2 linked regions of the Saccharomyces cerevisiae S288C genome follow. The protein of the gene in region 1 interacts with the protein of each later gene in a biochemical or structural test. Each region holds a gene or a part of one and is shown on either strand. Other genes may lie near its edges. The genes, in order: PUT3 and MYO3.

Region 1 (17,293 bases):
ATGGTAAGAATGCGTTTTTTGAATTCATTAATCCCAAACCTTACATCTTCCAGTACCGAAGCTGATAGGGAAGAAGAAGAAAATTGCTTGGATCATATGAGAAAAAAGAACTTTGACTTTTTTTATGATAATGAAAAAGTTGACATGGAGTCTACAGTATTTGGTGTGATATTTAATACATTCGTCAGGCGAAATCGTGACTTAAAAACTTTATGGGATGATACACATACAATCAAATTTTGCAAAAGTTTAGAAGGTAACAATAGAGAGAGTGAGGCAGCCGAGGAAGCTAATGAGGGGAAAAAGTTAAGAGATTTTTATAAAAAAAGAGAATTCGCACAGGTTGATACTGGATCTTCAGCGGATATTCTGACATTGCTGGATTTTCTACATAGCTGCGGTGTTAAAAGCGACAGTTTTATCAACTCAAAACTAAGCGCTAAGCTCGCTAGACAACTAGATGAACCATTGGTAGTAGCAAGTGGAGCTTTGCCGGATTGGTCACTATTTTTGACCAGGAGATTCCCATTTTTGTTTCCGTTTGATACCAGGATGCTTTTCCTACAATGTACTTCATTTGGTTACGGAAGATTGATTCAACTTTGGAAGAATAAGAGTAAAGGCTCGAAAGATTTAAGGAATGACGAAGCTTTACAACAACTTGGGAGAATTACTAGGCGTAAGCTGCGGATTTCAAGAAAAACAATATTCGCTACCGGTCTCAAGATTTTATCCAAGTACGGAAGTAGCCCTGACGTACTGGAAATTGAATATCAAGAAGAAGCAGGAACAGGTTTAGGACCGACTTTGGAATTTTACTCCGTAGTTTCCAAGTATTTTGCAAGAAAGTCGTTAAATATGTGGCGTTGTAACTCTTATAGTTACAGAAGCGAAATGGATGTTGATACTACTGACGATTATATTACCACTTTATTGTTCCCAGAGCCCCTCAACCCGTTTTCCAATAATGAAAAAGTTATTGAACTTTTTGGATATTTGGGGACATTTGTTGCCAGATCGTTGCTTGATAATAGAATTCTTGACTTTAGATTTAGCAAAGTCTTTTTTGAGTTATTGCACAGAATGTCTACGCCCAATGTGACGACAGTGCCGAGCGACGTTGAAACCTGTCTGTTAATGATCGAATTGGTAGATCCGTTACTCGCAAAATCCCTTAAATACATAGTAGCGAATAAGGATGACAATATGACCCTAGAATCGTTGTCCTTGACATTTACCGTTCCTGGAAATGATGACATTGAGTTGATTCCGGGGGGTTGTAATAAATCCTTGAACTCTTCTAATGTTGAAGAATATATCCATGGCGTTATCGACCAAATATTAGGTAAGGGCATTGAAAAACAGTTAAAAGCATTTATTGAAGGTTTTTCAAAGGTGTTTTCCTATGAGAGGATGCTAATACTTTTTCCGGATGAATTAGTGGATATTTTCGGACGAGTTGAGGAAGACTGGTCTATGGCAACTTTATACACAAACTTGAACGCTGAACATGGCTATACAATGGATTCTTCAATCATTCATGATTTTATATCAATAATATCCGCGTTTGGTAAGCATGAAAGAAGATTATTTTTGCAATTTTTAACGGGATCTCCCAAGCTTCCAATTGGGGGATTTAAAAGTTTGAACCCAAAGTTTACAGTTGTGTTAAAGCATGCTGAAGATGGCCTAACAGCAGACGAATATCTACCAAGTGTAATGACATGTGCTAATTATTTGAAATTGCCGAAGTATACTAGCAAAGATATTATGCGGTCTCGTCTTTGTCAAGCCATTGAAGAGGGTGCAGGAGCTTTTCTACTTTCCTAAATTTTAGTTACTTTTTCTATTTAAGTTTTATATGACTTCAAAATTATTTCTTAAGATACAAAAAATGGATGGAATCAGACTAAATTTCTTCGGATTATCCGTACTTTTCTCATTTTTTTGTTTCAACTGGCGATTCCATATTTGTTTATCCATTGCATACAACGAAGGCTTACGGTTATACAGTCTAAAGCTAAAAAAGATAGTAATATGTCGACAGCACAGAAAGCTAAGATATTGCAACTCATCGATTCCTGCTGCCAAAATGCAAAAAGCACACAACTGAAATCTTTATCATTTGTTATTGGAGCAGTAAATGGCACGACGAAAGAAGCTAAAAGAACCTACATTCAAGAACAGTGTGAATTTTTGGAGAAGTTACGACAACAAAAGATAAGAGAGGGAAGAATTAACATATTGTCTATGGATGCTGGTGTTTCTAACTTTGCTTTCTCTAAGATGCAATTGCTCAATAATGATCCGCTCCCTAAAGTACTAGACTGGCAAAAGATAAATCTAGAGGAGAAATTTTTTCAAAACCTCAAAAAGTTAAGCTTGAATCCTGCTGAAACTTCTGAGCTTGTATTTAACCTTACGGAGTATTTATTTGAATCTATGCCGATACCAGATATGTTTACAATTGAAAGGCAACGTACCAGAACTATGTCTTCGAGGCATATTTTAGACCCAATTTTAAAAGTGAATATTCTCGAACAGATTCTTTTCTCTAACTTGGAAAATAAAATGAAGTATACGAATAAAATACCGAATACGTCCAAGTTGAGGTATATGGTATGTTCGTCCGATCCACATCGGATGACTTCATATTGGTGCATTCCAAGAGAAGAGACACCGACCAGTTCAAAAAAGTTAAAATCTAACAAACATAGCAAAGATTCTCGAATAAAGCTAGTGAAAAAAATACTTTCAACCTCAATACTAGAAGGTAATTCAACTAGTTCTACAAAACTGGTCGAGTTCATAGGAGTTTGGAATAATAGGATAAGAAATGCCCTTACCAAAAAAAAAAGTTTCAAGCTATGTGATATACTAGAGATCCAAGATAATTCGGGGGTGAGAAAAGATGACGATTTGGCAGATTCATTCCTCCATTGTTTGTCTTGGATGGAGTGGTTAAAAAATTATGAAAGTATTACTGAACTCTTGAATTCAAAAACACTGGTTAAAACACAGTTCGGACAGGTGTTTGAATTTTGTGAAAATAAGGTACAAAAGCTGAAATTTTTGCAGAACACTTACAACAATGACTAAGAAATTGTGCGGTGATCGCAAACTTGAAATAACATGTAATCTCTATGTATAATTTATATAATGATTAACAAGATAGAGGTCGACACGTCAGAATCAATAGTCCAATTCCACAGCCGGAGTTAAATGCCTCTTTTTTGACGCGGTCAACGTTAAGTTTGCAGTAGCGCTTTCGGCAGTCGGTGCAGAGCTTTCAGGCTTAAAATCCTCGAAAATTTGTCTTCTTATGTTATCTTCATCGCCTAGTGCCTTGTATTCAAGAGATTCGCCAAGCTCTTTGGAAGCTAAATCCCACGTACTAGGCTTGGGCTTACCGGTTTTTGTATATGTCCTTTGCAAAAGTAACCAAAAATAGTGCTTCTTTTGCTCCAATATCCTACGCTCATTTTGGAGTTTCTGTTGTATCTTTTCGTTTCTTTGCTTTATCAAACCATCAACAATCAAACTGATGTCTTCTTTATCCACCTTGTCAAATTTCCGGTCATTTTCCAGAACTTTTTCTATGTTTTGCTTGGTGATCTCGTCGCTATCGGCATCATTCCATTCAAAATTTTGATCTATCAACGTCTGTTGGGCTATTGATCTTTGTGCAAAGATGTACATCCTTTGTTCATCAACAAAATCTAAAAATAAATCAAGGCAGGACGAGCCATTCCTTCCAAGCATATGTAAAAAGCGCGGATCAGACTTTATATGAGGATAAATATCTGACCATCTAGTATTTGCTTTGATTTTGATTGGCACTTCTCTTAATAAGCTTTTAAAGTTATCTCTAGCAATACGGTCTCTGGTATAATTGCGCAGTCGGAGCTCATTTAGTTTGTTTTGAAGATCGTTTTCAATCGTATTTACTATTTTCAGATACTCGTTTAAAACATCTTCGTGGGTTAAGACTTTGAAGTGCCGGTTCGCCATATATCTCTTACTCTTATCAAAAACATAGTGATTTAAAAGCTGCTGCCAGGTTATGAAAGTTTCAGAGGATGATGTTGTTATAATACCGTTTAAATACTCTCTTAGTTCTTTTAGGGCCTGTGTTTTCAATTTTTTTTTTGATTCTTTCTGAGTGTCGATGAGGGTATCTATATAATCTTGAAAGGTCTGTCTCTTTGTCTTTTCATTGACCACGGAGTGTTTGTATATTGGTTCGTCGGCAATTAGTCTCTTTGCGGTAGGCCAACGGGTGTAATATTTTATATGAGAATTGTTTTGCAACATTTTCTGAAAGGCTTCTTTGAATTTGCTTGTTTCATTGTGTTCCTTAAGAAGTTGATCGGCTGATCTATTGGAAAGATATTTCTCAAACATTTCTTTCTTCCATAAGGGGTCATCATCGACCATCCAATACCTTGGATCTCTGGTCCCCAGTTCTGAAATAATTCTACTGAATGACCAAGTAGAGTCTACTTGATTTTCCTTCAGCATGGTAATAAATTCCTTCTCTGCTTCTTCTTTAGTCCTTCTCCTGACATTAAGCAGTTTAGAGTTATTAGCATATTGGCTTTCCTCCTCGTTTATAGTTCGTCCCGGCTCTTGTTTTTCTCCAGCCGTAAGGGCTATTCTATTTCCATTAACCTGTGCATGGGATACTGTATCATGTTTTTGTTCTGCGATGGGTTCTACTTTCTTCTCGAAGGCCGGAATAGTCCAGCTGGTTTCTCTTGTTGTTGGATTATAATAGTATACTTTGCCGTCTGCCGTCTTGGCCGCCTTCCAGCCATTTTCTCGAAGAAGTAGCTCCTCCTGAGAAATTAGTTCCTTGGGCTTCTCCCACGTAGATTTCTTTGTCAAAGTATTGTAATAATATATCCTTCCACTTGCATCTTTAGCTTCCTTCCAAATAGACATAGTTTCACGTCTCCCACCTCCGGCAATGCTTGTCTAGTGGTCGATCTGGCTTCAGACCTTGTTATCCTGATAGGTAGGCACGCTATTGCGATGTCATCAACTGCCAGATTTCCAAGTACATTATTATTGTCGATAATTTCATATCGTTTACCACGTCGCCCCTTTTGTATAGCAAAATACAATTATAGAACAAAAAAAGCCTGTAAAGCCAAGCAAATAGAGGCTTTCGGAACAACTCGGTGTCACTTTGACAAAAGATAAAAGAGGAAGCAACTGATAGTAGGAAATGTCACAATCATTACGTCCGTATCTAACGGCTGTTCGTTATTCCCTGGAAGCTGCGTTGACTTTGAGCAATTTCTCTTCGCAGGAAGTGGAGAGGCACAACAGACCGGAAGTTGAAGTCCCTAACACTAGCGCCGAATTGTTGCTCCAACCGATGCATATATCTCGTAATGAAAATGAACAAGTATTGATTGAGCCCAGTGTAAACTCGGTGCGTATGAGTTTAATGGTGAAACAGGCAGATGAAATTGAGCAGATTTTAGTTCACAAGTTTACTAGATTTTTGGAACAGCGTGCTGAAGCATTCTACATTCTGAGACGTGTACCAATACCTGGCTACAGTATTTCTTTTCTAATAACTAATAAGCATACTGAATCAATGAAAACTGGGAAATTGGTTGATTTTATTATTGAATTCATGGAGGACGTGGATAAGGAAATCAGTGAAATTAAACTGTTTTTGAATGCCAGAGCAAGATTTGTTGCGGAAGCATATCTTGATGAATTTGTCTATTAGATTCCTAATATAGGAAAGGGAATCTTTCTCCGTCAGGGCCCTATTGACGGAAAACTTTACGATCTGTACTGACTGTGTTAGTTTGCGTACTCAATTGAACTATTTCGAGACTATTTAGTTAGATACAATAACATGTGTATGTGAATTAATTATAAACGTACTTTTAAATTGCAGTTACTTTGTATAATTATGGTGATTTTTTTAGTACTTAAATTATATTCATAAAAAGGGATTAAAATGTTTCTCCCGACACCTAAAATTAAACTTCAATCTGTCAATTCTAACACAAAACGTTTTCATTTTACGTAAACAAATGAAGATTGAAGATTCTAAAGCATTTATTATTACTGCCGCACTAGTATACGACCAAACTAAAATTATATGATAATAGTGCACCAACATATAGTAAACAGCTTTTACCTATGCACGACTTGCATGAGGATTTCAATATTATATCACTGTAGACGAAATATGAAAAATTTCAGCAATAAAGCTCATCGCAAAGAATAGTTCGGTTATATTCTTGATTGGATATTATTTCTCTAATCTATGCGGTACTACTTCATCTAACAGAACTAGAGGAGCACTTACATAATGAGTAATCATAGCGAAGCCTATGGATCTCGCGACCAGAGAAGGGAGAAGTACACCCAAGGGAAAGAGTTCGAAGACGGTACATTAGAAACACTAGAAAGTATAATCAGTGCAGTCGAAGATGAAACTCTCTCCAAAGATTACCAACCTCTAATAGTGTTCTTCCAAAGAGGATTTGGTGCTCAATTGGTACAGACTTGGTCATATTATGCTCAAGTAAATAACCATGGGAAATTCTCGAAAACTACCTCATTACTGACTAAAACCTTACGAGTTTTGTCATCTGATACTAGTACAGTGACTATTGGGAGCGGTCTAATTAGATTGATATTGACCGATTACACAAAAGTTCTCTATAGAGGGTTGAACAATATGCGTGCGCAATTAACTAATCCAATTCTTCGTCTACTCAAACAAATAGTCAATTTCAACAATGGGCAACATATAGAGGAATTAGTTTCATATTTCGATTTTTCATTACCTATTTTACCAAGACTGTTGGTACCAAGCAAGTCTGAGTTAGCCAATGGGAATTCATCTGCTGATTCATCCAAACATGACTCATTAAGATTTACATTTATCAAGTTTTGGTTGACATTGATCTCAAATGCTTCCCCATTCGTGAGAAAAGAACTTTTGACAGAAAACTTTAAGATTATGAGCAACCTATTTAAATTCATGAATAAGGCTGATTCTGACAAGTTATCTGAGCACATACTATCGGTATTCATAAACGACATTTTAAAGGAGAAATCCTTCAAGAGAACTACTAAAACCAAAATTTTAAATGAACTAGCGGCTTCAAAGATTCATCACTTTTATTATTCATCAAACAAGAATTTGGTTAAGAAGGCAAATGAGTTTTTCTTAACTTTTGGAGCTTCCCGTGACTTTAGCGTAGCATTTCCTGATAATTGCGTTTGGTTCAAAAATTCAGTTGCTGATGGAGCTTCTCATGGAGCTCCGATAACCGTCAACCAAGTGGAATTTCAAATTCATAATAAACTTTTGTTCAACACTTTACGCCTTTTCAAACCTTGGGAAGATACGCTGCAATTAGGTACGTTGATCAAAATATTGGAGAACGTTCCCGAACTTGTTGCTCCTTACAGCATCTTTTTAACGACGAATGGTAACTATGACCCTAAGATGACTTCGTATTGGTTTGGTATAACGTTACTGATTAACAAGATTATTAATCTTAAGATACCGCAATTTATGGAGAAAGTTGATAGCAATATTCCACCTGCCACTTCATTAGTTATAGAAAACATTCTGCCATCTTTGCTCACCAAATCCTCGTTGGTTAAATCCCTACAATTTGAAACACCCATCATAAGACAATTAGCCTGTCAATCAATAGTTCTAGCGTTAAAAAAATTAGAAAAAGTTTCCACATTTTATGATCAAAAAGGCTGGAGAAATGAAAAAACTATTTTACTCAACGAGTTTCATACTAGAATTCCTGATTTACCAATCTTCGTATCTACTTTGAGCAATTCTTTGGCTTCCAATAAGGATAATAGAATTTTACCTCTGTCCATATCCATCATATTCAACTACTATAGTAAAATGTTCCCCAACCTCTTCTCAATTAACCTACCATCATCAAATATTTACACAGATATCATGCAAAAATCCAAGATTTCTGGCATAGAATTTGCTATTCTGGACAACTACTTACAATTTCAAGAATTTAACTCTACTCAAACCAGGTGGTGGAATCCAAGTTCTGGTGGAAATTCTTTATTCACCCTACTATTAAAGCTAGCATCCTCCAAAAATGCTTCTAACGTGATAACTACAAGAATATCCAACTTGCTCGATGAGCTGACGAGAACAAACGTTATCTTCAACATATCTTTAATTTCACCAGTGATGGCTTTAGTGAATAGTCTTCAAGGGCTTTCCCTTCAAGTTTCTGAAATTGACAACATGGAACAAGTCTGGAAGTGGTTTGACGAAACTATATCTCGTGTCGTAAAAACACCATACAAGTACGTCGATATGGCAAAAGAGTATAACTACATTTCTCCCTTCATAATGTGCCTTTCAGAGCAATGGAAATACGTTGACAAGAGTGGAAACCCAGAGTTTTTAATTAAATGGCTTATACTTTTTCTTAGAAACATGATTTTCATTGGTGAAGACCATATAGGCATAGATAAACTTGTTAAAAATGTCTTTCCTGAGGTCTCTGATCATGATGTTAATATATACTTGAAACTTGACTCATTTGAAGAAAACATAAAGAAAACTAATAGCTCTAATTCTTTAATTTCTTCAATGAAGAGCTCATCTTTTTTCCAGTATATTTCGGCGCTTCCATCTAAAAATCTAATGAATATTTCTAGATTACCAGTGAACAAATTAGATGCGGCAGGAATCCTTTTTAGAGTTCAGTTATTGGTAGAAGACGATTCTGTTGTATATGACAATTGGTTCGAAGCAACTGCCTGTGAGTTAACTGGCAAGATTGCTAGCTACATGGTAACAGACACAGAATTCCCAATTATCAAAGTTTTGGAAAGGTATATAAATTTCGCTTTACCAAAACTGGCCATTGAAAAAAGAAATGCTCTACTCATGAAAAAATCAAGGTTCATGTGCAATTTAATCGGTGCAGTATGCTTTGAAACAGGCCATCAATTAGTGGAATTCCGAGAAATAATTCAAAAAGTCGTGTTTAGTGGTGAAAATGTCGAAGAGTATGCCAACTATAATGAGTTGTATCAGAAAGAAGATGTAAATGCTTTCTTAACAAGTGTTAGTGAGTATTTAAGTACTTCAGCTTTAACTTCGCTACTCATGTGTAGCACCAAACTAGAGTCCACAAGAAACATTCTCCAAAAATTATTCAACGAAGGAAAAACTATAAAAATATCCCTTGTAAAGAATATACTGAACAAAGCTGCAAATGAAGATCCTGCTTCAATTAAGGAAGTAAACATCTCTTTGGCTAAATTTTTTGAAGAAAACAAAGTTTGTGTTGATGCTTCATCTGATCCTATGGGTAAGCTATCCCTTTCAGAAACTACTTCTCTGATAAATAGTTTTGTGTCTAGTGATTTGAATTATCTAGTACTGAAAGCTTTTTACAGATGGGAACATTTTTCTTTCCCATCTTTCATACCAAGTATCTGGAGGATCAAGGATTCACCTTTACTAAGTATTGTAACAACGGCTGCTTTGTTCAAGCACATGCAGGATAAAGATTTTAGCGCATTTGCGCATGAAACCATTTCCAAGTATGGTAATGAAATTGCGAAAAGTACTTACACTACCTCGAAAAGTGAGATTTTTGACGAAATATTAAATATGATTACCACTTATATTGATTTCTATGACGAAACGAAACGAAATGAAATTTTGAAATGTGTTTTATCACAGAGCGACCATAAATATCATGCTGCTACAGTAAGATACATAGCTGCACACAATAATTTTACTTATCCAGGGGTAGAAACATGGTTACATAAAACTCTTCTTTACCTTACAAAGTACCTTTCAGAAAGAAAAGTTATCTCCAATTCTTTTTTTGAGTTACTAAGAGCGATGGCTGAGCTCTTAAAACTTGAAGAGGTACCAAATAAGTTGAATGTCAAAATCATTAATTCTCAATTAGAGGCTATTCTAGGCAGTGAGTGGATCAAACAAATTAAGGTTCTTGAATACGTTATTGTATTAATTTTTTGTGTGAGCAAAAAGTCAATTCAATCGCAAAGAATGGTTCAACTTTTATTAAGCAATGACAGTTACTCATCAATAATGATTAAAGACAATGATGAAGATTCATCGTATCGAAAGTTCTTAAGCACAATGATATTATTCTCTTTATTCAGCATCGACCCGGTCGTAAATTCGACGCCAATAGTTCAAGAGAAATTATTGACTTTTTACTCCGGTACTATTTCCAGTAACGACAAGTTGATACTGAAAATTCTAGAAACTATCGAATCTCACACCGCTACTTCATGGACAAACATGATTTTTTCTTGGGAATTTATCAAAGACGAAGAGGAAGAAATCTTGGAAGCCATTGGAGACACGAGGCTGATTACCAAAGAAAGGGAGGGGTTGATACTAACACTACAAAAAAACATGATCAAAAAGTCCATTGACAGATACGTATTGGAAAGGCCTCAAGTCCCTGAATTATATACCGATTCTAATACAAACAATTATGATGCTACTACAAGGTGTGACCTAGTCAAAAAGTACTACGATGATACCGAACGATCTGGTGTTGATATGTACGATCCATTATTTTTACTGCTATTAATAATCCATAACAAAGAGCTGGTAAAAATGGTCAAAGATGACGAGGGCAATGTAACATACAGATATGAATTTGAAAATTTCCTTGATTGCAAAATATTTCAGTTTATTATTTGCTCATTAAGCGATTGTCATACCGTTGCCAATATAAGTTACGAACATTTATCAAATTTAGCTTCTTCTTTGGAGAAGAAAACTGCCCAGATGAATCTTGAAAAGCAAATAACTAGCAAGGATAATGAAAGAAAAGAATCTGATAGCGATTTAATCAAATATAATAGCATTTACCAAGTGTTGATTAAAAGGATTTTATACCAGAGACAACAAAATCAAGATCCTATCAATCCGTTAATTTGGTTTTCTATCTCTAGAATTGTTGATCTATTGGGAAGTCCAACTGCGCCCTTACATGAGAAGGCATACCGCTGGGTATTATCAAATTCTACCATACGTAGTTGGGACATCCCTATGGTATCTGATGTGATGATGTCCTACAATAAGAGACAACAAGATGACAATAAGAAAGAAATTGATATGGAAATATACTATGGAGAATTGAGTTGGGTTTTAACAACCATTTGTAAGGGAATTAAAACGGATGAAGATTACAAGATGTTAGAGAAGAAAGGTGTATTTGAATGGTTGTTAAACTTGATCAATATGCCATACTTGAAAGAAAGATTACGCGAACTAATCTATTTTATTTTTTACAAAGTCCAAAGGGTAGCAGATGATGGTGGTTTGAATTTAATTAGCAGAAACGGTATTGTGTCGTTTTTCGAGGTTTTGAACAATAACATCAAATCTAGACTACCACAGGACGATATACTGAACAACATTGGTACTTTACGGAACGAAAACAGAGGTACATTAAATACTACTTTGAGGTTAGCCCAAGAACAAAACGGAATTGAAAAACTACTATTAGGCTACAACGAGCTTGTCAAATCACAAAAAAGGCTAATATTATGGACAGAAGGTGATAGCGACAATGTTGTCAAGAGGCTACGTAAATGAGCTGTCTTGTGATAGATATTTTAAATAAGATTTGAAGAATTAAATGTCCACTTTTCTATATAATGTGCGAAATGTATAATATATGCATAAGAAAACAAAGAAATCAGTATTTTCTTCTTTGTCTTTGTAATGGTGTTATGGTCCTAAATAATCAGTAAAGTCAATTTCACTACCAGCAGCTGCAGTTGGATCCATAGTATTTCCCAGCCACATTGCTTGATCAGTGATTTCCTTCCAAAGTTTTTCATCGGAATGATCAATATTGCCTAAATCCTCCAACAATTGTTGTAAATCGTCATCATTTAGATTATGAACGGAATCCAACTGATCCATGTTTTTTTCCATCACCTGAGAGCCCTTTTCAGTTAGCGTGGTTTGGTATGAATTTTCCAAGCTCGCAGTTATGATATCAAAAAAAGTAGAAGGTTCCGAGTTATTGACGTTAATATCATTAACATCATTATTACCATTACTATAATCAGTCAGCGTTGGTTTCGCGCCTTCCGGAAGTATGCTAACAATGTTCGATATAGATTCGTTCTTGATCATATTTGTATTGGTGTTTGATTTATCACAGTCTATAATTGAAGGGTCAATGCGATCGCCATCTTTGTGAGGTTTACACTTTTCGGTTTCTCTTTTGGGTTCATTGCTATCTTCTACTATGTTATCGTTTTCACAATTCATAGAATCAAATTTCAAAATATCGTTATATTTAGTAATCAAGTCATTCATTATGCCGTGGAAATCCAAATTTGCCATTAATGTTAATAATTGTGCTCTTCTTAAGCCTGCTGGAATGTTGCCTAAGTTTCTCATTTGTGTGAAAATTTCCAGAGAATGATCCAAATGATATAGTGTTTGTTCATGAATACCAAAAGCAGTGTTGAATAGTAATAAAGTACAAGAAGAAGTAAAAAGATACTCTCTGTCCATATAACTAAACATAGCAAGCATACTATTCTGTAATAAACTCCACAGAGACCTAATAGTATTCACAGAAGCATGCAAAGAACATGTTAATAAGGAAGATATTGTGGCAGAATAGTTTTGTAAGTTGACGAAAGTATTGCTCGTTTTGAACCTTTTCAATTGAATGGATGCAAAATGAAATAATAAAGGTCTCACGGCCAAGTTTATTCCTTGAAAATATTCCGTAAACATATTGGTTGACAATCTCGATATTTTGAAATCTTCATCCTTTTGCGTAAAATCCACCTGTAAGGAATCGGACAAATTGTTCCTCCATTCCAACAACTGCTTGATGACAACTTTCAAAGTAATTATGATGTTTGTCTCAGGTTGCCTTTGATATAATTTGCTCAAAATTTGTGCATTGATTTTCACAATAGTAACGCAGTTAGAAATCAATTCTGCCTTTCTGAAAACATAGTGACTATTTTTCTCTTCGATAGTTTCATCATCAATATCCGCTGGCAGTGCTGTAGAGATTGTATAATCAGTGAAACTTAATGGTAACCCAGCTTTTGAGCTAAGCATTCGTTCAAACATGTAAACTGTCCACCAAAGTCTCCTATGATGCTCGATTTCATACCTGGATAGAGTGTCGCTTTGAGAATCAACATGTAAGCCTAGAATTAAGCACGTCCTTAGGGCTTGACCGAAGTAAAAATAAGAGGCTAAAGTGTAATCAGCCACCTGTAAGAAGAACGCGTATAACAACAGGACTTCAATACCGCCTTTCTTAGTCACATTTTCTAATCTTTCACTTGAGAACAAACAATTAAAAATTTTAGAACCCATTTGAAAAAATTTTGAACCGGGCAATTTTGGCTGATTAGAATAATTCTTCAACATTTCATTATTGATGGAACCCAGATACATTTCACCTACTGCTAAAATTAACAAAATTTTGCAAAACCAAACAGCTTGTAAAATTGGATCATTCTCATTGTCCAAAGCTTTTTTGGTATTATCATAGTATAGCCATTTATTTTCCAAGTACAATTTGTTAATGCCACATTTAACCAGGCCTTCGTTGAAAAAGTAAAAACAACCATCGTTATAATTTATAAAGCAGTCAATTAATAGTTTTGTGTAATTATACGAAGGCAACTGAAACTGTATTACCTCTTCCTGGCCACTACTACCATCCGTATCGCTTTTCAAAATTATCTTAAACATCAATGGAGATAAATTATCGTTGATTGAGTTTAAGTTGACAATAGTCGATATAGGGTTCAAAAAATTATAGGACGAGAAAAGATAGTTGTTTGAATTGATAAAAGAACTTATAGCCGGGTTCAGGTTTGAATTTAAAATCTTGTTTTTGGTGTTTATTGGCAAAGGTCGAAAATTCTTGACCGAAATATACTTTGTAACCAAAGATTGAATTTCTAACCCAAATAATGTCATTGAAGAAGATCCAACAAAATAATGGAATCCATTGTGAGATTCTATGAGCCTACCACTTCTTTGAGCAAAATTTGTTGATATTTCTTCATCATCTTCATCATCATCCTCATGACCATTGGCACCGTTGCCATTTTCGCCATTAGCATTAGCTGGTTGTTTAAAGATGCTGATGGCCTTTTTGTAGTATTTTTCCAAACTATGATCATAGCTCCTATTATTTGTGATTCTGTTGCTGTTGTCATCGTCGTTATCGTTATCGGACGCAGTGTTACTATTGGACATGAGGTCAAATATAGGAGCCGCCGGAGCGCTGGATACTTCCAATGTGTCACTTGAGGGTGCATTGTTTATATGCCTCTCGTCATCATCGCTGTTATCCTTACCACGTACACTCACTGGTCTCTCCAAGAGCAAAGCTTTCAGGCGGTTATTCTCTTCAGTTTTATCATTCAAGTCTTTTTGCAGTTGTTGCAGATACTTTGTCGACACAACAATTTTTTTTGACGGCTCCAAGTACTCACATATGGCATTGCTCGTAACACATTTTTGGCAAGGGTTACCACCAGGACATTTTATATGACGTTTCCTACAAGAAAGGCATGCGACAGAAGATCTCTGCTGCCTTTTTTGCGGTTGTTTATTAACGTAGGCTGGTTGCTTAGATTGTATCGAATGCCTACTGCCTTGGTCGGTCACCATTAAACTCGTTAAGATCACTGCAATTATCCTATCAATGAGTTAGTTGGACCAGTGTCGTATTTATCGTTATTGTAATGGTTACTTACTAATTGCTGCTTAGAAAGCTTTAAATTGCCGCCGAAGTCAAGTATATCATCAAGCACCTGGTGGATGTTTTCATTTTTACTCCAATATTCGCCACCTCATTGCCGCGGAGAAATATCGTTTATAATGACATATCCGATGACTCAATCCCATAAACGAGGTATGGGTGTATATCACGTGATATATTATGCTCACGTGATGACCACGTGACTAATGAGCGGGTTACAAGAATTATTTTCTCTTCGATTTGATTGGATATTTGTCTTGATGCCCCCAAAAAAGTAAAAGATACACCAATTACCACTTGCTGCTTAGCGTAGGTGTAAAACATATTTCTACTAGTACAATACTTTTCTATATAAGTTTATATATTCATATTGACACGTAACGCAAAAGAACAATCTTAGGATTTAAAAGAAATTTTTCGTGCACTTAATTGCAGAATCACCTAATTATATTTTTGTTCGACTATGTCTTTGGCCAAATCCGCTGCTAACAAACTTGACTGGGCAAAAGTCATCTCTTCTCTACGTATAACAGGGTCGACTGCCACTCAATTATCGAGTTTTAAAAAGAGAAACGATGAGGCACGTAGACAATTACTAGAGCTGCAAAGTCAACCCACCGAAGTAGATTTCAGTCATTATAGATCTGTGTTGAAAAACACTTCAGTCATTGACAAGATAGAATCATACGTTAAGCAATATAAGCCGGTCAAAATCGATGCCTCCAAACAATTACAAGTGATTGAGTCTTTTGAAAAGCACGCAATGACCAACGCCAAGGAGACAGAATCCTTAGTTTCCAAGGAGTTAAAGGATTTGCAAAGCACCTTAGATAATATTCAATCTGCAAGACCTTTCGATGAATTAACTGTTGACGACCTGACAAAGATCAAACCTGAAATTGATGCTAAGGTAGAAGAGATGGTCAAGAAGGGTAAATGGGACGTACCTGGTTACAAGGACAGATTCGGCAATTTGAATGTGATGTAGTACCCTTTACCTCTATATATTACGCACCATATTCTATTATTTTTTTCACAGGTTTATATAACTGGCAAATATTATAATTAAACATTCTTACTGTCATATATACACAAATGTGCGCCTGCATATCCTTACGCTAAGAAAATCTTGTACGTTACATATATTTCAAAAATATGAAGGCTGATGTAAAGTTGTCTCTTGAGAAATATAGAAAAAAGAGTAGAGGGAAATGAACAAAGAATTGGCTTCTAAGTTTTTATCAAGCATCAAGCATGAACGTGAACAAGACATTCAAACAACTTCTAGGCTATTAACAACGCTATCTATCCAACAATTGGTGCAAAATGGCTTGGCAATAAACAACATACATCTAGAAAACATAAGATCCGGTCTCATTGGCAAATTATATATGGAACTGGGACCTAACTTGGCGGTTAACGACAAAATTCAAAGGGGTGATATTAAGGTTGGTGATATTGTTTTGGTACGCCCTGCAAAAACCAAAGTAAATACCAAGACTAAGCCCAAAGTCAAAAAGGTGTCTGAAGACTCCAATGGCGAGCAAGCGGAATGCTCAGGCGTTGTCTACAAAATGAGTGATACTCAAATCACCATAGCTCTAGAAGAATCTCAAGATGTTATTGCTACCACATTTTATTCTTATAGCAAACTTTACATTTTAAAGACTACCAATGTCGTCACGTATAATAGAATGGAATCCACAATGAGAAAACTGTCTGAAATTAGTTCACCCATACAAGACAAAATTATACAATACTTGGTAAACGAACGCCCCTTCATCCCCAATACAAACAGCTTTCAAAACATTAAATCTTTTTTAAACCCGAATCTGAATGACTCCCAGAAAACTGCCATTAATTTTGCCATTAACAATGACTTGACCATTATACATGGTCCTCCTGGTACGGGTAAAACATTCACATTAATTGAATTGATCCAGCAATTGCTAATTAAAAATCCTGAGGAGAGAATCTTAATTTGTGGGCCTTCCAATATTTCTGTGGATACGATTCTGGAGAGGCTAACGCCTCTTGTGCCGAATAATTTATTATTAAGAATCGGTCATCCTGCTAGGCTATTAGACTCTAATAAAAGACACTCTCTTGATATACTTAGTAAAAAGAATACTATTGTGAAGGACATTTCCCAGGAGATTGACAAATTAATTCAGGAGAATAAAAAACTAAAAAACTATAAGCAACGTAAAGAAAACTGGAACGAAATTAAACTGCTGCGCAAAGATTTAAAGAAAAGAGAGTTCAAAACCATTAAGGACTTAATAATACAATCGAGAATAGTCGTCACCACTTTACACGGTTCATCATCGAGAGAACTATGCTCCCTTTATAGAGATGATCCAAATTTCCAGCTTTTCGATACCTTGATCATCGATGAAGTCTCACAGGCCATGGAACCACAATGCTGGATCCCACTAATTGCACATCAAAATCAGTTCCACAAACTAGTCCTTGCTGGTGACAATAAACAA
Region 2 (8,388 bases), 210 kb from region 1:
GTGGTACTTATTTGCTCTTTTTGAGCTAAAAACTGAAGGCCTCAGTTTTTCAATTTACCAAATTTGTCATGCCATTTAGTAGCGACAACATCAAATTCTTCGTCCAAGGCGCTCAGCTTACCATCTAAAATGGAGTGCCACGCAGCTGACAAGGTCTGAAATTCTTCTTCGGAGTTGACAGGAAGAATCTCCTGCAAGAAGATATTATCAGTTTCTCCGATATTCGTTCCGTCCTCATCTGCGCATTTAATGGCAAATTGAACAACTTCTAAATCTAGCAGGTTGCTGCCTATACGCAAAGACTCAATCATCCATTGAGAAAATTTCACGAAATGATTGTAGGTATCGTCAATGGCTAATATGGACTCTGCTGTTAGCGTTAGGTCCTCGTTCAAAGTTTTAGATAAAATTTCCTTTTGTAATGACTGCGTTAGATAATAGTTCAGTAAGTCAAACGTTTCAACACATTTAACAAACATTGAAGCTATTGGTAAAATTACCTTGTCAAACGAATCCGCCTCTGGGTCTAATTCGTTTTTACCTTCATTGATAAACTCTGATGCATTATAGCTTAACACACAATCGTTGTAAAATCTCAATTTCTTAACAAATTTAATCAAAGTAGTTCTCTCGAATCGTAGCGTAGCTACCCTTCGCAAATGACTGATGAACTTGTTCAGCACGTGAATATAAGATGAGAGATACCGGGAGAGTAAGGCGAGTATTTGTTCAACTAATTCACAAGTTCCAGGAGTGACTTTGATATCTTTGTCTTTGCTCATTTTTAAGTGTCTGGTATTATGCAAAAGGAAAATTAAGGAGGGTTTACTGTGCTTTCTCTTTTTTTGAGAAAAATGTCTTGAGTAAAGTGAGGATTTTACTGTCAAATCTTTAAAGCTTGTTTTGAACGATGTCCTGCATTAAAGTGGGAGTTTTTCAAAACGGGAAAATACAAACAAAAAATGAAAAAAAAAAAAAAAAAGGGACTTTAACTTTCTGCGAGAGTATGTTTAAAAGTATATGTAATGCACTTTTGGTATGTTAAGAGGCATGCACGAAGAACCATTCTATAAGAGACTAAACATCTATATATTCATGTTAATTACCAGTCATCATCATCATCGCCATCGTCATTATCATCATCGTCAGCACTTTCCGCCCGCATTTTGTTTGCTCTTGCTGCCAATGCAGAAGCTAAACCGTCGCTAAACGTCCCCACCGGATTACTCTGATTATCACTAGTGGGTCCAACTGTTGCACTTCCAAACTGTACACCTTCTTGTGCACTTGAAATGGTATTGTCGATTTGGCTTGATTTCTGATTTGTAACGTCATTCACTGCCCCTGTCGCTGCAACAGGCACCGTATTTCTTGTGTCTTTATAAGGAGTCATATAAGCAGTAGGAACCCAACCTTCTTTGCTTCCATCGAGAAGCTTTGCTAAAGACCAACCACTAGGTTCATCTCTGCTTATAAATACAATATCGCCCTTTTTTAATGGCAACTCCGAAGATGATCCGGAACCTGGAAAGTCGTATGCAGCTTCGAATTTCGGATCCTTTGGTTGGCCCATGGGGGGAGGGGGTGGTGGTATTGGTATGTTTGCAGTTGCAGTTGCAGTTGTCTCCTTTAACGGTTCTTTATTTTTTTCAACCCCTTTTGAAGGTGGCATCGATACCTGGTTTTGCTTGGCGGATGAGGATTTGTGGCTTGAGGAGGCTTTCTTTACTGCGACTTTTTCCTTCGATGAGGGTTTTGAGCTGTGTTTCGAGCTTACTTTTGCAGCAGGGATTGCAGATGACTTTATTGGTACGGTCTTATCCGGTTTAGGATTGTATGCTGCCTGTGCAGCGGTAGCTGCCAAAGATAACGGATTCACAGGTTTTTGCGAAGGGAGAGGTTGCTTTTTTGCAGCATCCCTATGACTTCTATGGCTATGTGTATGCTTATGAGTAGATTTGTGTTTACTCTTTTTGCTTTTGATAGGTTTCCCGCTCAACCCACCTGGATTCTTAGGTTTTTTATTCGATTTGGAGTTAGCAGGGTGTCCACGACGCACGTATATTGTACTTGACTTGTAGATGTCACCGTATTTCGGTGCTGAATCGCTTATCTTTGAGCGGACAGTGTGCAACTTGTTTGGTTGTTTGTGATACTCAATCGTGGGACCAACTTTTATCATTATCTTTTCATTTAATTTTTTCAAACGTGTCATTAATTCCGTCTTGAAAGGCGTGTTAATGAGTGGATCGGATTGTGTACTATTAACAAGGATAACGCCCATCCAATCGTCTTGGAGGTTTGTTAAGCTCACTTGTTTAATTTTACCGACATCAATTTTATAATCTTGTGTATATTTCATAGCATTCTGTTCCCGTGTTTGTCCAATAATATAAAATGTCTTTTTTGTTAAGATAAACACTTTTTTCAATCTTTGAGCTGATCTGCCAAATTTAGAGTGCAGGCATTCCCCCTTTATCGAAAAAACAACTTTATCCTTAATTCCTACCTGTCTTCTGATGTACGATCCTTTCGTTTTAGACTCATTGCAGGATAAGTAATCACCCATAAAAGCCCTGTATCCAAGTAAAGACATGGATCTTCTCTCTTTTTTACCCGCTAAAAGTTTGGTTCCATAATCACGAAGCTTGACGTACTTGTTTCCACCCTTTTTCTCTCTGATAGTACGCTGAATTTTTATCGCAGCATCAATACGCCTTTGAAGAAACCTTCTCCATGCTCTCTGGATTCTAGCAGCCATGTTGTACCAGTATTTATCACGCATGTCTTCTAGAGCAAATAGAGATTCTGGAGTTTTAATGAATACGCTTGTCACTCCAAGTTGAAATTCTTTTTCTGGTATCATGGCATCTCTTAAAATAAGCTTGACTGCCTCAAGGGTGTCCCCATCCCAAGTGTAATCACCAGCATATGAACAATCTGGAGATAGTAAATAAAATCTTTCGACGAATTTTTCGAAAGTTTGTCTGTAAGCGAAACCGGCTCTCCTGATACGAACATTTTCTTGCAAACCCAAATATTTTACTTGATGTAGCACTTGGTGATCATCATAATCATTTGGTGATTTAGTTTGATTAGGCTTGATTGTTCTGATATAGGAAGGCTCAGCTTTTGACAAAGTTTCCACCAGTTCATTTGCACTTTTAATAATTTTGTCACCTGCTGTTGGAGGCCGTCTCTTTGAATCTTTGTCAACATCATCAGGAAAAATTGTGGAAAGGAATGTATTTGTCGTTGTTCCAATTAATTCAATTAGGTCCTTTTGAAGTTGGTCTTTATTTTTATCGGTGATACCATTGATGTCATAGGTGACATCTCCAGCGTAATGTTTAATAACAAATTTGTTGGCCCTTAATTCGAAGTATGGATTTGAATTAAATAAGTTAAGTCGTTGAGCAAACGCCTGGTCAGCGGCATTGGAGTCTGCATGAGCAGTTGCAATAGAGTCATTCATTGCAGCAAGAATGCCCGGTGGATTTTTCGCCTCGATTAAATCACAGACAACTTTATTGTCAAAGTATTTGATGGGGGTCCATTTGATTTTTTCTCTTTCATAAGTTTCTTGCTCAGCCTTCAAAGTCAATTGGATAAAAATCTGTTGTAACTTTTCATTAACATAATTGATACATATTTGCTCAAAAGAGTTGTGTTCAAAAATTTCGAAGCCGTAAATGTCTAGAATCCCAATTGATTTATCAGCACCAGGAAATGCCTGCAAAGATACGTTAACCCTATCGACAATCCAGTCGAATAAATTATTATAAATTGCCTTAGCAAGGGCGTCTCTCACCGCAGTTGCTTGGACTGGGTTCAAAGGTACATGATAAACTGAGCCTCTCTTCATTCCATGACTGGTTTGCATGATTCTTTCCACTAAACATTTTACCAGTAACGAAGCATCAACCTGCAACAAATAAGCGACAAAATCAGTCACTGAGGTATCTCCTACCTGAGCATTGCCCTCTTCATTTTCTATAAAGGAAATGTTACCAATCCACAGAATTGCCGCCAGCATCCTAAAAATTTGGTCTTGTTCTTCCTGGACTAAACCAATGGTTCTCATAGCCTCTAACGTGCCTTCGTAATCTTTTACGTCATCAATTGTATCTGCAGTAGTACAGCCAGCCGCAGCAGTGTAAATATATTGCTCAGGCATTTGCACACCGAACATCTGTTTATATGTATCAGATGCTCCCTTAGTGAATTGGTAAAAAATATGAAAGTTTCTTTCGTTCTTAATTTGACCAACAACTCTTTGTTTCTCTAGCAAATAATTTGTGATATTACCTGCGCAAGGTTCAAATTGTGAGTTGAATTTAATTTCTAGATACTTCCCGTGCCTTGAAGAATTGTTGTTCCGCAGAGTTTTAGCACAACCGAATGACTCGAGAAGTGGATTAGTAGCAAGAACCATATCTTTGATCTTCCCAATCGATTCTGAATGGCTATTAGATGCAGCTGCAATATATTGCATAATACGTTTGGCTGCTTCTGTCTTACCGGCACCAGACTCACCAGAAATAATAACACACTGATTTTCATTGTATGATTTGAGATTGTAGTACATAGATTCCGCAATAGCAAACACGTGTGGTGGAACTTCAAGTCTATTTTTTCCTTTATATGACTCTAAAACGGCATTTGTATATATTCCCAAATCGCGGAACGGATTTACACTAATTAACACATGGCCAATATAGGTATAAATAATTCCATTCTTAAATCTTTTTTTCAAATTTTCATTGATAGATTCATCAGATATTTTTGACAAAAGTGTCAAATCAGAAATACCTACTTCTTTCTTTTTATTTGCATCAAATGTAGCCTTTTTGATTTTTGCAGATCTCTTCTTGGGCTCCTTAACGTCCTTTCTGCGTGCTCCCTTTTTTATGACAGCCATTGACGGTTATAAGTATTTCTCTTTACTTTTTTTGATTCAAATGTGATCAGCAAATTAATGTTTTATAACTGGATTGTTGTTAATTTGCTCGCGGTCAATTGAATCGAGATTGCTTTAACCCTTTATAATAGATTACTCTATATTTACTTGTCACAGCAAACGGTTTCCTTTTTCGGTAAAGCTCTTCCCGAGGTTTATTATATAAATGCAAATCGATCAGTTTACCTTTAGTTAGAAAAGCGATGGAGCTAGCATCTTGCTACTATATAATAGTTGTTCAAGATCGTAGGTCTGCCTGCCGAGTGATTAGGGGAGGCTACTGAAGTTTGTTTTAATGTACCGGTTACATTTTCTTGTACGAAAGTATATGAAGGGGGCTTATTACTTCCAAGCCTATATTTTCTGTGGCATCGATTAGTATAGTATAAAAGAGGGAGTGGACATAGCGGTGAAAACTATACAAGAATAAAAAAGGAACTAAGAACCCTTTGCATTCATATAATTTCACATATGCATTTTTTATTTTATACTCAAATGTATGTTCTCACCTAGCTTGAGAAAGCGATGATCAAAGTGAAAGGTTCAACCATTTCTCAAAGTGCTTAACACATTATTTGAAAAGAAAGGGTTTTATTCCATCCACTCTATTATATCTATAAAAAATTATTTAAATTACCCACATATTTGAAAGTCCCGAATGGGCGCTGTGGGAAAATTCAGAGCCTGCCGCGATCGGCCGTGTTGACTGGTACTTCCACGACGACAGCGACGACTTTACCTGTGTCCAGGTTATAAATTGGAGGATGCTGTAAGTTTCTCAAGACACTTTGAATGACACCTGAGTGACAAGTAAGCGAGATGAATTTTTCTTCGCTTGACAATTGATTAAATAGTTCAAATAATCCATTCAGTGTACGTTTGTCCATTTCAGCACACGTTTCTCTATGATCAGGAAGCCACAATTCATCATCTTCTGGGTAATCTGGTACATATTGCCAATGTACAGTGTGGCCCGATTCCGTGCTGAAATCCTGGTATTCGTCAACTGCCATTGAGTGAGCCACTCTTTTGTCACAAGTGTGAGAGCCCAACGTCTCCCTTAGACCTTCTATAATGCGTGTAGAAATTTTAGTTCCGGCCGGTAATTCTTGCGTCTCCGCTAACACTGGTGTCCACGACTCAATGAATGTTTCGAGACATCTTCTCATTGGAGAACTGAAAAACACATGAGGTAGCATACCTAATTGCTTTGCCATTGGTAGCAAGACATTCGATCCTGTTCTTCTAACTTGATCTTTACCCAGAGGTGTCAGTTTAGAGTCAAGCCACTCTCCATGTTCATCGCCCGAAAGCAACGACCAATAGGCGTCCCATTTCTCCATACCGTACCTCAGTATGGCAGCATTGTGGTAACCTTGACCATGCCTAGCTAAAATCAACAGCTTATAGTGGCGATTTTTGGTATTTCTAGGGATAGCATGATACAGTTCCTTCCAATTCTTATGGTTAATCAATTCTAAGTGATCATATTTCGTGGAGTCTAATCCTTGAAAACCCTCACTTGGATATGCAGCAAAATATCCTGGGACTGCTCTGAGTGACATTGTTGAATAACTGTTGGTGATTTCACGCAGCAGAGTCTTGGAAAGAAATCGTTAAATAACATACAAATCTCTCGAGGGTTTTTTTTTGCAAATGACACTTTTTACTTTTTCCAGTACTAGCTAGCACCCGAAAAATTAACTTGACTCGCACATGCCTGCTGGGTCATATCCGAATCTGCAAGAAATTAGGATTACAAATATTTATTCAAACGTTGCACAACCACGCAATAGAAGATAATATCTGTAAATTTTAATCGCTTTCATCTGAAAACACTGAGCCTCTTCTTAATTTTCACGGACTTTTTCGCAGCCCAGGTTTGACCGGCTAAGTACGAACCTCTTTTGTTTGGAATAAGAGTTTGGTATTAATCAATTGTTGGTACAAAAGATTAATAGTATTACTTGTGTTTTCAGAATATAATTGTCCGTGAGCGTCCTAACTGTCATCGAGTTTATAGGAAGCTAATTAGTAAGGACTGACCATGCAAACCCAGCAATGAATGAAAGGATATAAACGAGGGAAGAAATGGTAGCAGTATTAAGTAAAATTGTCCATTTCCCCTCGTGAAATTATCCAAAACGCGGCAGAAGAACTTTTAAGTTATCTACTGTACATAGTGTTATTGTCCTCACGTGAATTGAATTGAAACTTTTTCAGAACATTATCGCTGAACTATAAATGAAATTTTGTAATGATTGTTCTGATCCCATCTTACTAAAAGCATTATTGTGAAGTATAAAATACAATAAATTTCTTCTCAAAAAAACTTGCCGTACATGATATGGAGAAATAGGTGAATTTAGGGATAGTAGTTATTATAATGAGCCTATTATAGAGAATCTATTATCGATTTCTAACGGTCGTATCAATCTGTTGTATTACGGGCTCGAGTAATACCGGAGTGTCTTGACAATCCTAATATAAACAGTCTTAGGGAAGTAACCAGTTGTCAAAACAGTTTATCAGATTAATTCACGGAATGTTACTTATCTTATATATTATATAAAATATGAATCATACTAAGTGGTGGAAGCGCGGAATCTCGGATCTAAACTAATTGTTCAGGCATTTATACTTTGGGTAGTTCAGCTAGGGAAGGTCGGGTTTTGTCTCATGTTGTTCGTTTTGTTATAAGGTTGTTTCATATGTGTTTTATGAACGTTCAGGGTGACGTATTGTCATACTGACATATCTCATTTTGAGATACAACACAATCACGTTTAAAAGCCTTGTTGGCGCAATCGGTAGCGCGTATGACTCTTAATCATAAGGTTAGGGGTTCGAGCCCCCTACAGGGCTTTCTTTTTAAAACAGGATGCTAAAGCCGACACCGTTCAAACACAAGTGGCAGCTTTTCTCGAGAACAGCAATGCCCACAGTTTTATTTACAATTTTACACTATTGACGTGGAGATTTTTTTATCCCGCATATGACCTAGTAGAGGATCTCTGTCTTCCCCTGATAAATGTCAAATGTATGACGTTACCACAATTGTATCACGGTGGTTTCAGTCTGTCATGAGGAATAAGGGCATTCAGTACCGACAATGCTATACTTGTAAATAGAAAAATGATGTTCTAAAATCGGCATTCTCGCTATTTGAGATTTTGTCTTTTTTTACCTGGTATTTCGCGTTTATATTACGGATGCAAGAAAAGGAGAAGGGCGCATCACATCGATTTTGGTCTACCTATAAACATTCTCTCTCTCATCCACTTTCGGTTCAATAGTGCAAAAATAGGTAACTAACAACTCAATTGAATAGTAAATGTCACTTCTAATAGATTCTGTACCAACAGTTGCTTATAAGGACCAAAAACCGGGTACTTCAGGTTTACGTAAGAAGACCAAGGTTTTCATGG

The links.
Region 2: the proteins of PUT3 (region 1) and MYO3 form a complex in vitro, tested with the Saccharomyces cerevisiae proteins (one study listed by BioGRID).

Annotation. Positions count from the first base shown.
Region 1 is NC_001143.9:405,961-423,253, reverse strand, and holds PUT3 (Put3p), read right to left. Parts: upstream 14,711-17,293; coding exon 11,771-14,710; downstream 1-11,770. Other genes in the region: putative ubiquitin-protein ligase UFD4, read left to right, coding at 1-1,830; CCE1 (cruciform cutting endonuclease), read left to right, coding at 2,038-3,099; snoRNA-splicing protein PRP40, read right to left, coding at 3,193-4,944; ARC19 (Arc19p), read left to right, coding at 5,231-5,746; URB1 (Urb1p), read left to right, coding at 6,341-11,635; ATP7 (F1F0 ATP synthase subunit d), read left to right, coding at 15,265-15,789; ATP-dependent 5'-3' DNA helicase HCS1, read left to right, coding at 16,013-17,293.
Region 2 is NC_001143.9:195,247-203,634, forward strand, and holds MYO3 (myosin 3), read right to left. Parts: upstream 4,922-8,388; coding exon 1,103-4,921; downstream 1-1,102. Other genes in the region: SHE2 (She2p), read right to left, coding at 42-782; PMU1 (putative phosphomutase), read right to left, coding at 5,638-6,525; phosphoglucomutase PGM1, read left to right, coding at 8,295-8,388. UniProt on the Saccharomyces cerevisiae protein: One of two redundant type-I myosins implicated in the organization of the actin cytoskeleton. Required for proper actin cytoskeleton polarization and for the internalization step in endocytosis.